Linked DNA regions of Arabidopsis thaliana. The protein of the gene in region 1 interacts with the protein of each later gene in a pairwise test. Each region holds a gene or a part of one and is shown in the gene's direction. Other genes may lie near its edges.

Region 1 (6,620 bases):
AAAACTATCTAATAGTAGTTAAATAGTTCTCAATAGAAATTGTAGTTAGGACGAAAAGATATGAACATAGACATTTTGACCTTTGCAATAAGTAGTGACATTGCCTTGTTTACAAAGGCACAAAAAATCTCGTGTCCTCGTATTAAACCCACAAACTCCACCACCTTTAGTCGTTTCTTGGCAAAGAAGGCACTTCATTGTCACTGGAAATTCGTAATCAACCCTTATCCCGTACTCTGGAAACTGATCATACGGTGCATTCTCCACACCTGTACTCCTCCAATACACACTTGTATACGTCGCACAGTCCTGCAGCATGAGCCTAAGAGATTGAGTCGCTTTAGGGTAATACGAACAACAAGAAACCCTAGATCCCAAAGCAGAGCCACATTCAGGCAAATGTCTGCATAGATAGCTAGAACTATCGCAGGACGAGTCACATCTATCTGGAAACCTTTCGCAGAAGAGCGGTTTTGGTTCGACGATAACTTTATCGGTGTTGCAGTTGAAGAACAAGTAGTCGTTTTGAGGAGAGACAGTGAAGTGTGTACTTGAATCGATGCTAAAAGATCTAGTGGGTCGAAAATTGTCTCGATCTTGACAGTTCCACATGAATGGATCGGAGACAAGAAGGTGAGGATCAGAGTAGCTTATAGATTTAACAGGGTATTTACCAGATGGTGTTCTAAGTTCGAGCTTGGTATCGTTGTCGGAGCAAATGAGCATGTGTCTGTAATAAGGGCTACCACAACCGTCGTCGATGGAAAAAGGGTAATTTATCGGAATGTTGCCGCAAGAAGATCTGCAGAGATTTGATTGGGATGATGTTGTTGATGATTGAAGAAGGATGGTCATGAGAAGGGAGAAGAAGATAATGTAAGAGTGAAGTGGAGACATTGTTCAAAAATTAGGAGTTTAGATTTGATTATTGGGTAGTTTTTAGTTATGAGATTATAATTTGGTGGTGTGAAGTGTTGAGTAAGCTTGGAATGTCTTGTTAAAGAGTTTAAGAATCAATCTTGTCATGTGCTTGTTAATATTGCTTATTTTAGGTTTCGGTTTGTTTTTAAAATTTCACCTTTCTTTTTAGTATAAAGTATTCCAAGAGGACTCGTGGTTTTGTTTCAGATTATTTGAAATATTTACATACAATATGTCAACAAACGTACTATTCTTTTTTCTGATATTTTACAACAAAATTTGTTCTTTAACATGTTATCTAAAAACCATTTAACAAAAAAAATAAAATGTATGAGAACCTTATAAAATACAAAATAGTAATTTCAGTATATAATAGTTTTGAATTTTCTTTTATTTAGAATTTCGTTTAAAGGGTTGTGATTTGTGAAGTAATCTTTGGAAGATAATCTCAATGTAAACAACACATTGGGCTTCTCATAGGCCCAATATAAACAACACATTGATCATTATCCATGTAAGGTGAACTCTTTAATCGAAACCGTTCAATTTCAGTCATCTCAATCCAACGGTTAGTATTCCAAGGAGCACGTAATCCACTCTAAATTCGTAAACACGTGATTTCTCACTAAATATAAAACTTGATACGTTACGCCTTCCTATCCATCCGTCAACGATTAAATCCAATCGTTCAATATAGAGATCCAACGGCTAATAACGAAACATTAGCCCACACGAAATCTCCTTTTTTTTTTTGACGGGATTATACAGTGGGCCTCCACCTGTAATTGTCCATTTAGGAGACAGCGCGGTTAATTTAGCATTATCCCTCCTCACAGTCATCTCTTTCTTCGCAAATAAATGTAACCATCTCTCTTCTCGTTTTCTTCAACAAAAATCCTCATTTCTCTGAGAATCTGGTGCTTTAGCTTTGGTGAGCTCTCTTTCTTATGAAACTTATCGATTCTCTTCTCGTTGATTGTCTTATACTTTTAGTTCTCTGCTTAATTTATTGTCCTTAATACTCGTGGATTTGTTCATAAATCGTTTTCTGAGCAGTTAGGTAAGAGTTTTGTTACCGAATTTCATGTTCTTCGATTTTGAATCTGGATGATTGTATGATGTGATTAGTAGACTCGCTTAGATTTTGTGATCTGTGTATGGTTTGTGGCTAATTTTGGTTTCATCGGTGGTATGAATTTATTTGGGGTTTTAGGTTTGTTTGATTACGTAATCGGACTGTTTACTTGAAGATTTATCGATTATAGTTGTGATCGTTTTTAGTTGATTGAGAAGAAGAAAATAAATTTCATGCTCTTGTTATTGTCGCGATTGTGGCGATTTTCAGTGTCTTATGAATCAATTATGTTGCATGTGAGTCTTGGTGCAATTGAGATTGTTTCCTTTTTTTACTAGATTGCTTGTCTTATTGAACAAAACTTTCCATTTATGTTGAAAAGGTTTATAGGAACGGATGTTTAGGGTTTTGTTGTAATCTGGGTATTTGCTTTCTGATTTCGGCAAGCAAATGTCGATTTCAAGGTTTATATCACTTTCTCTAGCAAAAGAAGTCTTTAGTCATTTGCAAAGTCAAGAGAGTTTTTACTTTATTTATTGCTTCCACGCTATTGCTTCGTGGCTGATTGAGAGAGACCAATTAAACTAATAATTTGTAGTTTGTACAATATATTGCGTGTAACATTGTCCTTCGTTATCTGTTTGAGGAGGAGGACCGAGTTAGCCTATTTTTAGTCACTTTACAAATTTTCTTTTATGTTGCATCATTCAATATGAACTCTCTGATATAAATATATGTATACATACTGGTTGACTTTTATGGGTATGGTTCTCTGCTTTTTTTCTCTGTGATGGTCTCTTGATTCTAACTTTCTTTGTTTTATGTTTTTGGTTTTTGTTGTCAATGAATAGGTAAAATGAAGATATACTCTAGAACGGTTGCTGTTTCACTCATTGTGTCATTCCTCCTGTGTTTCTCTGCCTTTGCTGAGCGCAATGACGGGACCTTCAGAGTTGGACTGAAAAAACTCAAGTTGGATTCGAAAAATCGGCTTGCAGCACGCGTCGAATCCAAGCAAGAAAAGCCCCTGAGAGCTTACAGACTTGGAGATTCTGGAGATGCTGATGTTGTTGTGCTTAAGAATTATCTAGATGCTCAGTACTATGGTGAGATCGCCATTGGTACTCCACCTCAGAAGTTCACTGTGGTTTTTGACACTGGGAGCTCTAACCTCTGGGTGCCATCATCAAAATGCTATTTCTCAGTAAGCAACATTTGGACTATTGTTGTTAGCTGTGGTTGAGATACTTTTGAGTAGAAAACTAATTGTGTTCTATCTCTTTTGCAGCTTGCATGTCTCTTGCATCCCAAATACAAGTCGTCTCGTTCAAGCACATATGAGAAGAATGGTTTGTTCTCTCTCTTAACTTGAAATTTTTTGCAGTTGGATTTCCCAGTTGGTAGATACTTTACAGTTCACTCAATGTAGCCTCTAGAATTCATGTTAATGTGCAGAAAACCATTGTTAAAAGATGCAACATCACTACTGATAGCAGCTGCTAGGTTATAACTAACTTGCTCATCTTTGATGCAGGAAAAGCTGCCGCAATTCATTACGGCACTGGAGCAATTGCTGGTTTTTTTAGTAATGATGCTGTCACAGTTGGCGATTTAGTTGTCAAGGATCAGGTAAACTATATGTCCGACCCTAATCAGTACTCTTACAACATACACATCAATGACCTCCTTCTTAACATTTGTCTATCTCATCAGGAGTTTATCGAGGCAACCAAGGAGCCTGGTATAACATTTGTTGTAGCTAAATTTGATGGTATCCTTGGTCTTGGATTCCAAGAGATCTCTGTTGGAAAAGCTGCTCCTGTTTGGTATGCCTGCACATTCTTCTCTTGTTTGGACTGAGTTACTACATTCCTGTAGTGTTAATGCTAATATGTCTTGTTTTTTACAGGTACAACATGCTCAAGCAAGGCCTTATCAAGGAGCCGGTTTTTTCATTTTGGCTTAACCGTAATGCAGATGAAGAAGAAGGTGGTGAACTTGTATTTGGAGGTGTTGATCCAAATCATTTCAAGGGCAAACATACATATGTTCCTGTGACACAAAAGGGCTACTGGCAGGTTTGTGATACATCACTTCCTTGTCTGGTTTTCTCATAACGTTTTCCAGTGACGATCTAACTCAAGCTATATATATTTTGTTATAGTTTGACATGGGTGATGTTCTTATTGGCGGTGCACCCACTGGTATGTGTAACACTGATTGGCGTTGTTCTTTATAACACATATATATAGCTTTTCCTGACAAATTCAAAAAGGTTTTGCTATTTATGTTTGCTGGTGACAACTGGTTCTAAAGTTTGAGTTACTGTTATACAGGGTTCTGTGAAAGTGGCTGTTCTGCGATAGCAGATTCTGGTACATCTTTGCTTGCCGGTCCAACGGTAAGCAAGAATTAAAATTGCTTATAGCTTTATAGAATTATGGTTTTTTAACTAGTATATGTAGTAATATTTCAATTTTTTCCCTGTGTAGACTATAATCACCATGATAAACCATGCTATTGGAGCAGCTGGAGTTGTTAGCCAGCAGTGCAAGACTGTTGTGGATCAATACGGGCAGACCATTTTGGATTTACTTTTGTCTGAGGTTAGTGTGCTTAATATTGGACTAGCTAATAAAATCTGTGACAAGTCATATGCTGTGCAAATTATTTTGGCTTACCATTCATCCCCCTTGCGCCTTGCAGACCCAACCGAAGAAAATCTGCTCGCAGATTGGTCTGTGTACTTTTGATGGTACCCGTGGTGTCAGGTAAAGTTATAATCTGTAGTCATTGCCATTAAGCTAGGATCTTCATTTTGGAATGCTTGTTTGTTTTTCCGTGTGATCTGCTCATATTTAGTATGATTTTGTTTATAAATTATCTAGTATGGGCATTGAGTCGGTGGTGGACAAGGAAAACGCCAAATTGTCTAATGGTGTTGGAGATGCTGCGTGTTCTGCATGTGAGATGGCTGTTGTGTGGATCCAGAGCCAGTTGAGGCAAAACATGACTCAAGAGCGCATATTGAACTACGTCAACGAGGTAACCAATAAGTTGTCATTTCAAGACTTTTGTGAAACAGTAGTTATTGTTGTCCTGATTACTGATTATAAATCGCTACTGTGGGTTTTCTTAACAGCTATGTGAACGCCTCCCCAGCCCAATGGGAGAGTCTGCAGTTGACTGTGCACAACTGTCAACAATGCCCACTGTTTCACTTACCATTGGAGGCAAAGTATTTGATCTTGCTCCAGAAGAGGTATGATAGTGAACTATTTAAAGACAACATTCATATTATGTAGTGAATATGACCATCTACTAATCTGTTGTACTGGTATGATGTGAGCAGTATGTTCTGAAAGTTGGTGAGGGACCTGTGGCACAGTGCATCAGTGGTTTTATTGCTCTTGACGTTGCTCCACCTCGTGGACCTCTCTGGTAAACCATTGAATCTATTACTCTGTAGCACAATTTCTTCTTGCTTTCTTTTTCTAACCCTAAGAACGGTGGTAAAAATGTAACAGGATCTTGGGAGATGTGTTCATGGGCAAATACCACACCGTATTTGACTTTGGTAACGAACAGGTCGGGTTTGCAGAGGCAGCCTAAACACGATCGGGTTGGTGTCGCGTATGGTTTTAGTATGAACAATCTGCGTCTCAAGTGTTGTTTGTATGTTTTCTGGAGTTGAGGACTTTGAGTCGTAGTAGAAATGGTGGCGCAGTTCCTTTTAAGTTGTTTCCTAACGAAAAAAGGCCTTTGTAGTTTTGAAGGCATTGGCTTTGTAAATACCTTCTAAGTAAGTTCGATGGTGAAAAAACTGAAAACTTTAATAAAGCCTGCCTCTTTTGTTTATGCTTAGTAAGTTGTATCAAATGGTTCGGTAAAAACGGTGTAGCATAAAAAATTTGAAAATGGTCAAGCTCGCTTTATCTTCATTTTCTAACCACATAAATTCCTACGTCAAAAAGTCACGATGATAATAGTTATTTGTCATATATTGAAGAACGTTCCTGCTTGAAACATGCATTTTAAGTTGATAGACTGTTTGAGACCCAATTTTCTAAAACCTTAATAATTCGTCAAGAGCGAGGTAAATTCCCCAACACGAAGCTTGCAGCATCCTTCCTGAATTTCGGAACAAGTATCTATTTTGAACAAGTCTGTGAACTTATGAGAAATTATAATGACAACCCACTTGCAGCGACTGTATACGTATATGGAAGGAAATAAGAACCAATTCGAGAAGTTTTTGTTGCGAAATGAACAAGTTACAACGAGTTACAGTTTCCTATAGCAGAAGAATTGATTAATTTCTACCTTAGCTAAACACTTAAACAAGAAGCAAACCTATACTTGTTTTGTATTCTCTGATCTTTCCCAATCATCTTCCATGTTAACAAGATGCGATAACACCAAACCACAAGCTCCTGATATCAAACTCGAAACATATATATTCAGACGGCAGAATCGCAAAGAAGTTTCAAGTGTTGGAATAAGGTCTCTCAAGTATTCTTTTTGCTGCTTGAACGCGAAAGTTTCGAATCCACAGTGTGCAATTGGTCTCGCAGCACCTGGTTTTCCTCAAGCAACCGGTTAAACTCAATAAGGAACCCTTCAG
Region 2 (6,268 bases), on another chromosome or scaffold:
CCTAGACAATCAATATAATTAAGTAGGTCCAAATCCAAGGCTTGTTTATGTGAATGTGAAATAAGAAATAATCGGTGATTTTTATTCAAAAAAGAAAAAATAATCGGTGGTGGTCGTTCAATCAGTAATCTCGAGGTCCGAAAGCACAATGCATATCACGAGTTCAAGATTTACTGGTGATTACAATTAACTTGGCACATTGTAATTACAAGATTTTTATATATATATTTCATGTTTCACTAACCATAAGGTAAGGAAATAAAAATAAAAATGAAGGAGTGATTAGTTGGAGCCGTAGGCCGTAGGGAACTTCGTCGTTTCTCGTAGAAAAGAGTGTAGGGACGACAAGAGTTGTTGTGAAATGGACGACTGTGATCGTTAATGTGACTCTCTTTGTCCAATCATGTGTTAGCTGATTCCACACGAAACATAGACCTTATCACACTGGAAGTTTACTTGACACATGTCTCTACTCTTTTATTCATCATCACTCAGACCTTACTGTTTGGATATTTTGGTGGATTCAACTTTGTCGTTTAGTCTCATTCATCGGCTCTCTCGCGTGTATCGCACGCAAATAGAACACTCAATGGCCAAATCTTGGAAGCAGTCAATGGCCACCAACCTTCAATAAATTACCACTAATCATTGGATAGTTCTAAGAAATGTCTACTTTCATATATTAATGCCAATTTTACCGGTTAAATTTTGACTTGACAACAAAAGATTTAACTTTTCTTATGAATACAAAATCAAAGAATAAATTTAAACTGAACAATTGGTATACGAGATAGAGAAACCAACTTCGATCAAAGTATGAGTAACGAAGCTTGATCAAAGTATGAGTAGGTTAAAGTTAAATTACTTTTAACAAGGTAGAGACAGGAGTGGTCGTGGATATAGGTTAGACTAGTCTAAGTGATGGAGCTTAATTAGACGGTTACGAATTGTTTTGCATCACATTCCTAATAAGTACATTAGATGGGTTTGATACAAATCGATGGATATTTATATTGTATTGCTTCCAATTCTCATATTAAAAACATTTGGAACCACATGCAAAAATTTATATGCTTGTAACATAAGTATATAATCTATTTATTTGTTTATTTTGTCAATGCTTAGTGATCAAATTAACAAAGTATAAGTATATGTATGTTTCTATAATATCTGAAATATTTATTCCTAGATAATATGTGTATGCCAAACATTTGATATCGTGTATCTGTAATCATGTTTTTTTAGCAGAAGTCATGAGTTCATACCAAAATTAATATGCAAATTTTATGTTTTTTCTGATGATGGGATTAAATTTGTCGTACTTTTTTGATAAGACAGCAACTATAAGCTTAAGTCAAATTTCTGAAATTGGTCCCCCACACCTCTAAATTTTTGAATCGTTTGTATTTTTTTTGTTACTAAATACAAAATAATGTAAAATTTAAATTTGTACGGCTGGATTCTCTTATCCGATCTATCGCATGCCAATTTCTTCAGGGACCACAATTAGAGGAAATCGTTATCACGACACGTGTCCTCCGATATTTTTGGCGCCGAGTAGTGACGTCATTATTAATGGTCCCCTCCTTCCTTGCTTTTTTCCCATTCGTCTACTCTCCTTTTTCTTTAACAAATTATCTTTTTTTTCCTCCGATATTCTTCAAAATTTGTTTTAAAATCCTTTGCAGATTTGTGTAATTTATTTACTTTTGCTTGGTACCAAAAACAAATAGAGCAAAAATGAGCAATTCTTTTTGATAAGCAGAAAAAAATGTTAGGAACGAATGAAGAAAAAGTGATGCAGCTATTTCCTTTTACTGTCACTTCGTAATTCGTATCATTCTTTTGCCGTCAACTTCTACCATCTCTTTTTTTTGTAAAACGATAAAACTTTTTGTTGTCGCTGTAAATGTTAGTAATCTGACCTAATCCCAATTTATTATGGATCACCAAAAAGCTGGTACTCTACAATTTAATAATAAAAGAAGAAGAATAAATATAGGAATAAATCGTCTTTTTTGGTGTAAGCTACATATAAAATTCAAACCGTCAAACACACATACACATCGAAACCCTTATATTTCATTTTCTTTCTGTTTTAGAGAAGAAAGTTTCTATAATTGATTGATAAATCTGAACATCAAAGCTAAGAATTTCTCTTCTTTTTTTCTTCTTAATTCATCTTTCCCTCTCCGAAACAGAAATTCAAAAACAAATTCAACACGAAAACGATGGCGTTTCATAACAATCACTTTAATCATTTCACCGACCAACAACAACATCAGCCTCCTCCTCCGCCGCAACAGCAGCAGCAACAACATTTTCAAGAATCAGCACCCCCTAATTGGCTCCTCCGCTCCGACAACAACTTCCTCAATCTCCACACAGCTGCCTCTGCCGCCGCTACAAGCTCCGATTCTCCTTCTTCCGCCGCCGCTAACCAGTGGCTCTCACGATCCTCATCCTTCCTCCAACGAGGCAACACCGCAAACAACAACAACAACGAAACATCCGGTGACGTCATCGAAGACGTTCCCGGCGGAGAGGAGTCAATGATCGGAGAGAAGAAGGAGGCGGAGAGGTGGCAGAATGCGAGACACAAGGCGGAGATACTGTCTCATCCACTATACGAGCAACTTTTGTCGGCACACGTGGCGTGCCTGAGGATCGCAACGCCGGTGGATCAGCTTCCGAGGATAGACGCACAGCTTGCTCAGTCTCAAAACGTCGTGGCTAAGTACTCAACTTTAGAAGCCGCTCAAGGACTCCTCGCCGGCGATGACAAGGAGCTTGACCACTTCATGGTAACTTAACTTCTCTTTCCTTCTTACCACTCTCAATTCCCATTATTTTATTCCTTTTCTTTTCTTTTGGAAAATAAAATCACTAAAAATTACTTTCATCTTTTATATTTAAAACGGTTTGACAAATTTGAATATTTTGTTGTTAATTATCTCCAAATTTATAAAAGTAAATTAGAGAAGAAAATCAAAAATTCTTTCTAGACTTGTACTTTGCACCGACAGACATGATCAGTGGGTTGGATAAATCGTCAGTTAAAAATTTGGATATTAGTTTTGCACAGTAGTAATTTGACAGCATAAGGTTTATTTTGAGATAGATTTTTGCTGAGTGTAAGTGATTGAGCAATTTCATTGATTGCAGTTACGGATACAGTGATCTGACAAAAACTAGTTTGTCACTTTCTGTATCTATATCCCATATTTTACTGTTCATGGACGTATTTGTATGATTGTATCTGTTGTCTGAAAGATATTTCCATGTTTTTGTGCAGACGCATTATGTACTATTGCTTTGCTCTTTCAAAGAACAACTGCAACAGCATGTTCGTGTTCATGCAATGGAAGCTGTTATGGCCTGTTGGGAGATTGAACAGTCGCTTCAAAGTTTTACAGGTTAGTTTTTAAGACTTCTACTAAATTATCAACTTTAATTTGTCATTTAGCTGTTATGGTAACTTTTGTATTTCACTATAGTATTGTAAAAGACACAAGGTTCTTTTATTTTATTTCTCATTTCAATGCTGTTTTTTATATTTAGTACCTACTTCTTGAGGTTTTAATTTAACACTTGTTTTGTTGAATGAGACAGGGGTATCTCCTGGTGAAGGCACAGGAGCAACAATGTCTGAGGATGAAGATGAGCAAGTAGAGAGTGATGCTCATTTGTTTGATGGAAGCTTAGATGGGTTAGGGTTTGGTCCTCTAGTTCCCACTGAGAGCGAGAGATCTTTGATGGAACGAGTCAGACAAGAACTCAAACATGAACTCAAGCAGGTAACTAGTGAAATATACTATATCCATCATTTACTACTACACATATATAAGATCAATGATAACAAATCCTTCACACCTTATTATATATCGTTGTAGCTAAAGTAAATATGCTTCTATTTAGTCCAATCAACCAAGAACTTGTCAAAACTTTATTTTTGATCTACAAAAAGACTCAAATGAATTTATGATTTTTAATTGTCTGAAGCTTGTTTGATGAGTTGTCAGTTTGCAACATCTACATAGTACTTACACGCACTTATATGCATGAAAATTGTGGTACACACTATATATAGTTAGCTTAACTAATGATATTGACCCATGTTTTTGTGAAAAGGGTTACAAGGAGAAAATTGTGGACATAAGAGAGGAGATACTGAGGAAGAGAAGAGCTGGAAAATTACCAGGAGACACCACCTCTGTTCTCAAATCATGGTGGCAATCTCATTCTAAGTGGCCTTACCCTACTGTGAGTTCCCTCTTTCTACTTCTTCAGTCACTCGCATGAACACGCCTCGTGGGTCTTTACCTAGTTCTGTCCCGAAAATCTTTGACTACATCATTTTTGCAACTTCATATGCTTTCTCAATCTCCTAAGTTTTAAATGAATCATGTAAATTTTGACAGGAGGAAGATAAGGCGAGGTTGGTGCAGGAGACGGGTTTGCAGCTCAAACAGATAAACAATTGGTTCATCAATCAAAGAAAGAGGAATTGGCATAGCAATCCATCTTCTTCTACCGTCTCAAAGAATAAACGCCGAAGGTACTTTGCACCAACATAACTTTATAGGAAGAGTATCCAAGAAAAGACAAAATATGATCACACGATAAGATACAATCTCTGAAATATATATATGTTAGGTGTGACAAAGTTTAGCTTGTTTATGTATGGTTAGATTAATGTTTAGTTACATTTTCAAGATATATGGAGTCATTAAATTTGGAGGGTTTTCTTTATGAAGCAATGCAGGTGAAAACAGCGGAAGAGACCGTTGAGATCAAGCTTGCATGTAGAGATCCAAAAGCTTTATAGAAAGGTGGAGGCATGAAGACAAAGAATTCTTACACAACAAACGTAGGACGTAATTTTGTGCCAGTACATGGTATGGCTTTCATATTTGGTAATGATTAGGGCCACACAAAATTAAACCCCAAAGCATGATTTGTAATATGAGGTTTTAGATGGACTTTATGATAGGATCGTCAGTCTTCACTGCCATCTCCATTCTCCACCATCAATCCATCATTATATCTTGTGAATAACATGGAAATTTCTCGTTATGCATTTAATTTGTGCAATCATTGGCCGTAATCTACACAAATATACATATTAATTTAGCTTGAATATATTATCTCAATTAATGGTTTCAATTTTTTTGTTTTGTTTTGTGAGTGGAACCACTTTTTATGTGGAATTGTTAACCCTAATGCCAAAATCTAAACTCTGCGAAGGTCGCCAGCAAACGAAAGAAAGAGATTATCTCCGCCGTTGTCAAAATTATTAAAAGGGATTATAAAGTTTTTCAATTTGGGCCCCTTTCCTGCGTTTTCTTTATTGTCCATTATGGGCCTCATTGTCTCTAGACTCTCTACCTTACAGGGTTTGCTCGCCGACGTTTCATACATAGTCCTCTTGTTTCTAAGGATGCCGATTAACACTTTTCATTTTTATCAACAAACTGGCTTGCAAGGGTTTTGAACCTGAGTGATGACCTACCATTTCTATCCATACTATAATCAGATTTTTTTTTGTTCTTTTTTATAATCAAGTTGGTGAAATAATTAACAACAATACTAGCACAAATCATTAACATAATGGTTCATACCTCATAGCCATATAAGATCATGAAAAAGTTATAGTTTTAGAAGTTTGTTTTTATTTTTAGTTAAAATTTAGTTTTTCCAATTAAGACCGAGTTATTAGTTAACAATGTAAAACTTAAGTAAATGCGATTTCTTTGGATTGGTTTGATTCGACTACAGTAAAACATAGGTCTTTGTTTTGTTTTAACCATAATAAAATCAATTGGATTATAAATAACTTTAGTTCTAATTCCGTTTACACATTTAGGTTTGCTTCAATTATAATCCTTCATGGAGATAGATAGCTAGATTAGTGGTGGTAATAATGTATGAGTTGAGAGAGTCTCTTTTTAGGTAGAATAAGATTGCACATGACGTGGCATTGTGAACGTTGTGGGGTTTTGTGATTGGTCTTGTCTTCTACTTACAAGACAGTCATATGAGAGGAGCATTTTAGAGCTGGCCCAATCATAAAAGACAGCTAGCTCTCTGTGACTCTGTGTTATCCGTTATGTTGCAGCAGCGACGAAAACAATTTGCTTCTTCTTCTTCTCTTTTGTCCTTATAGATAATACTTTTCTTTTCAAAATCAATTCACAATTGCTGAAGATATCAAAGATTCGTTATCTGAAAGTGACGCAGAAAAAGTACACAAAATAAAAGTGTTAGT

Evidence for each region.
Region 2: the proteins of APA1 (region 1) and KNAT4 interact in a two-hybrid assay, tested with the Arabidopsis thaliana proteins (one large-scale study listed by BioGRID).

The regions. Positions count from the first base shown.
Region 1 is NC_003070.9:4,016,107-4,022,726, reverse strand, and holds APA1 (aspartic proteinase A1), read left to right. Parts: upstream 1-1,961; 5' UTR 1,962-2,730; coding exon 2,731-2,758; intron 2,759-2,847; coding exon 2,848-3,200; intron 3,201-3,284; coding exon 3,285-3,345; intron 3,346-3,530; coding exon 3,531-3,625; intron 3,626-3,709; coding exon 3,710-3,822; intron 3,823-3,905; coding exon 3,906-4,074; intron 4,075-4,160; coding exon 4,161-4,200; intron 4,201-4,332; coding exon 4,333-4,397; intron 4,398-4,488; coding exon 4,489-4,602; intron 4,603-4,702; coding exon 4,703-4,767; intron 4,768-4,884; coding exon 4,885-5,041; intron 5,042-5,138; coding exon 5,139-5,258; intron 5,259-5,348; coding exon 5,349-5,437; intron 5,438-5,523; coding exon 5,524-5,608; 3' UTR 5,609-6,015; downstream 6,016-6,620. Other genes in the region: AT1G11915 (wall-associated receptor kinase galacturonan-binding protein), read right to left, coding at 81-897; AT1G11905 (B-cell receptor-associated protein 31-like protein), read right to left, coding at 6,505-6,620. UniProt on the Arabidopsis thaliana protein: Involved in the breakdown of propeptides of storage proteins in protein-storage vacuoles. Possesses aspartic protease activity in vitro.
Region 2 is NC_003076.8:3,508,177-3,514,444, forward strand, and holds KNAT4 (homeobox protein knotted-1-like 4), read left to right. Parts: upstream 1-1,656; 5' UTR 1,657-2,231; coding exon 2,232-2,804; intron 2,805-3,295; coding exon 3,296-3,416; intron 3,417-3,612; coding exon 3,613-3,797; intron 3,798-4,131; coding exon 4,132-4,263; intron 4,264-4,421; coding exon 4,422-4,558; intron 4,559-4,757; coding exon 4,758-4,791; 3' UTR 4,792-5,565; downstream 5,566-6,268.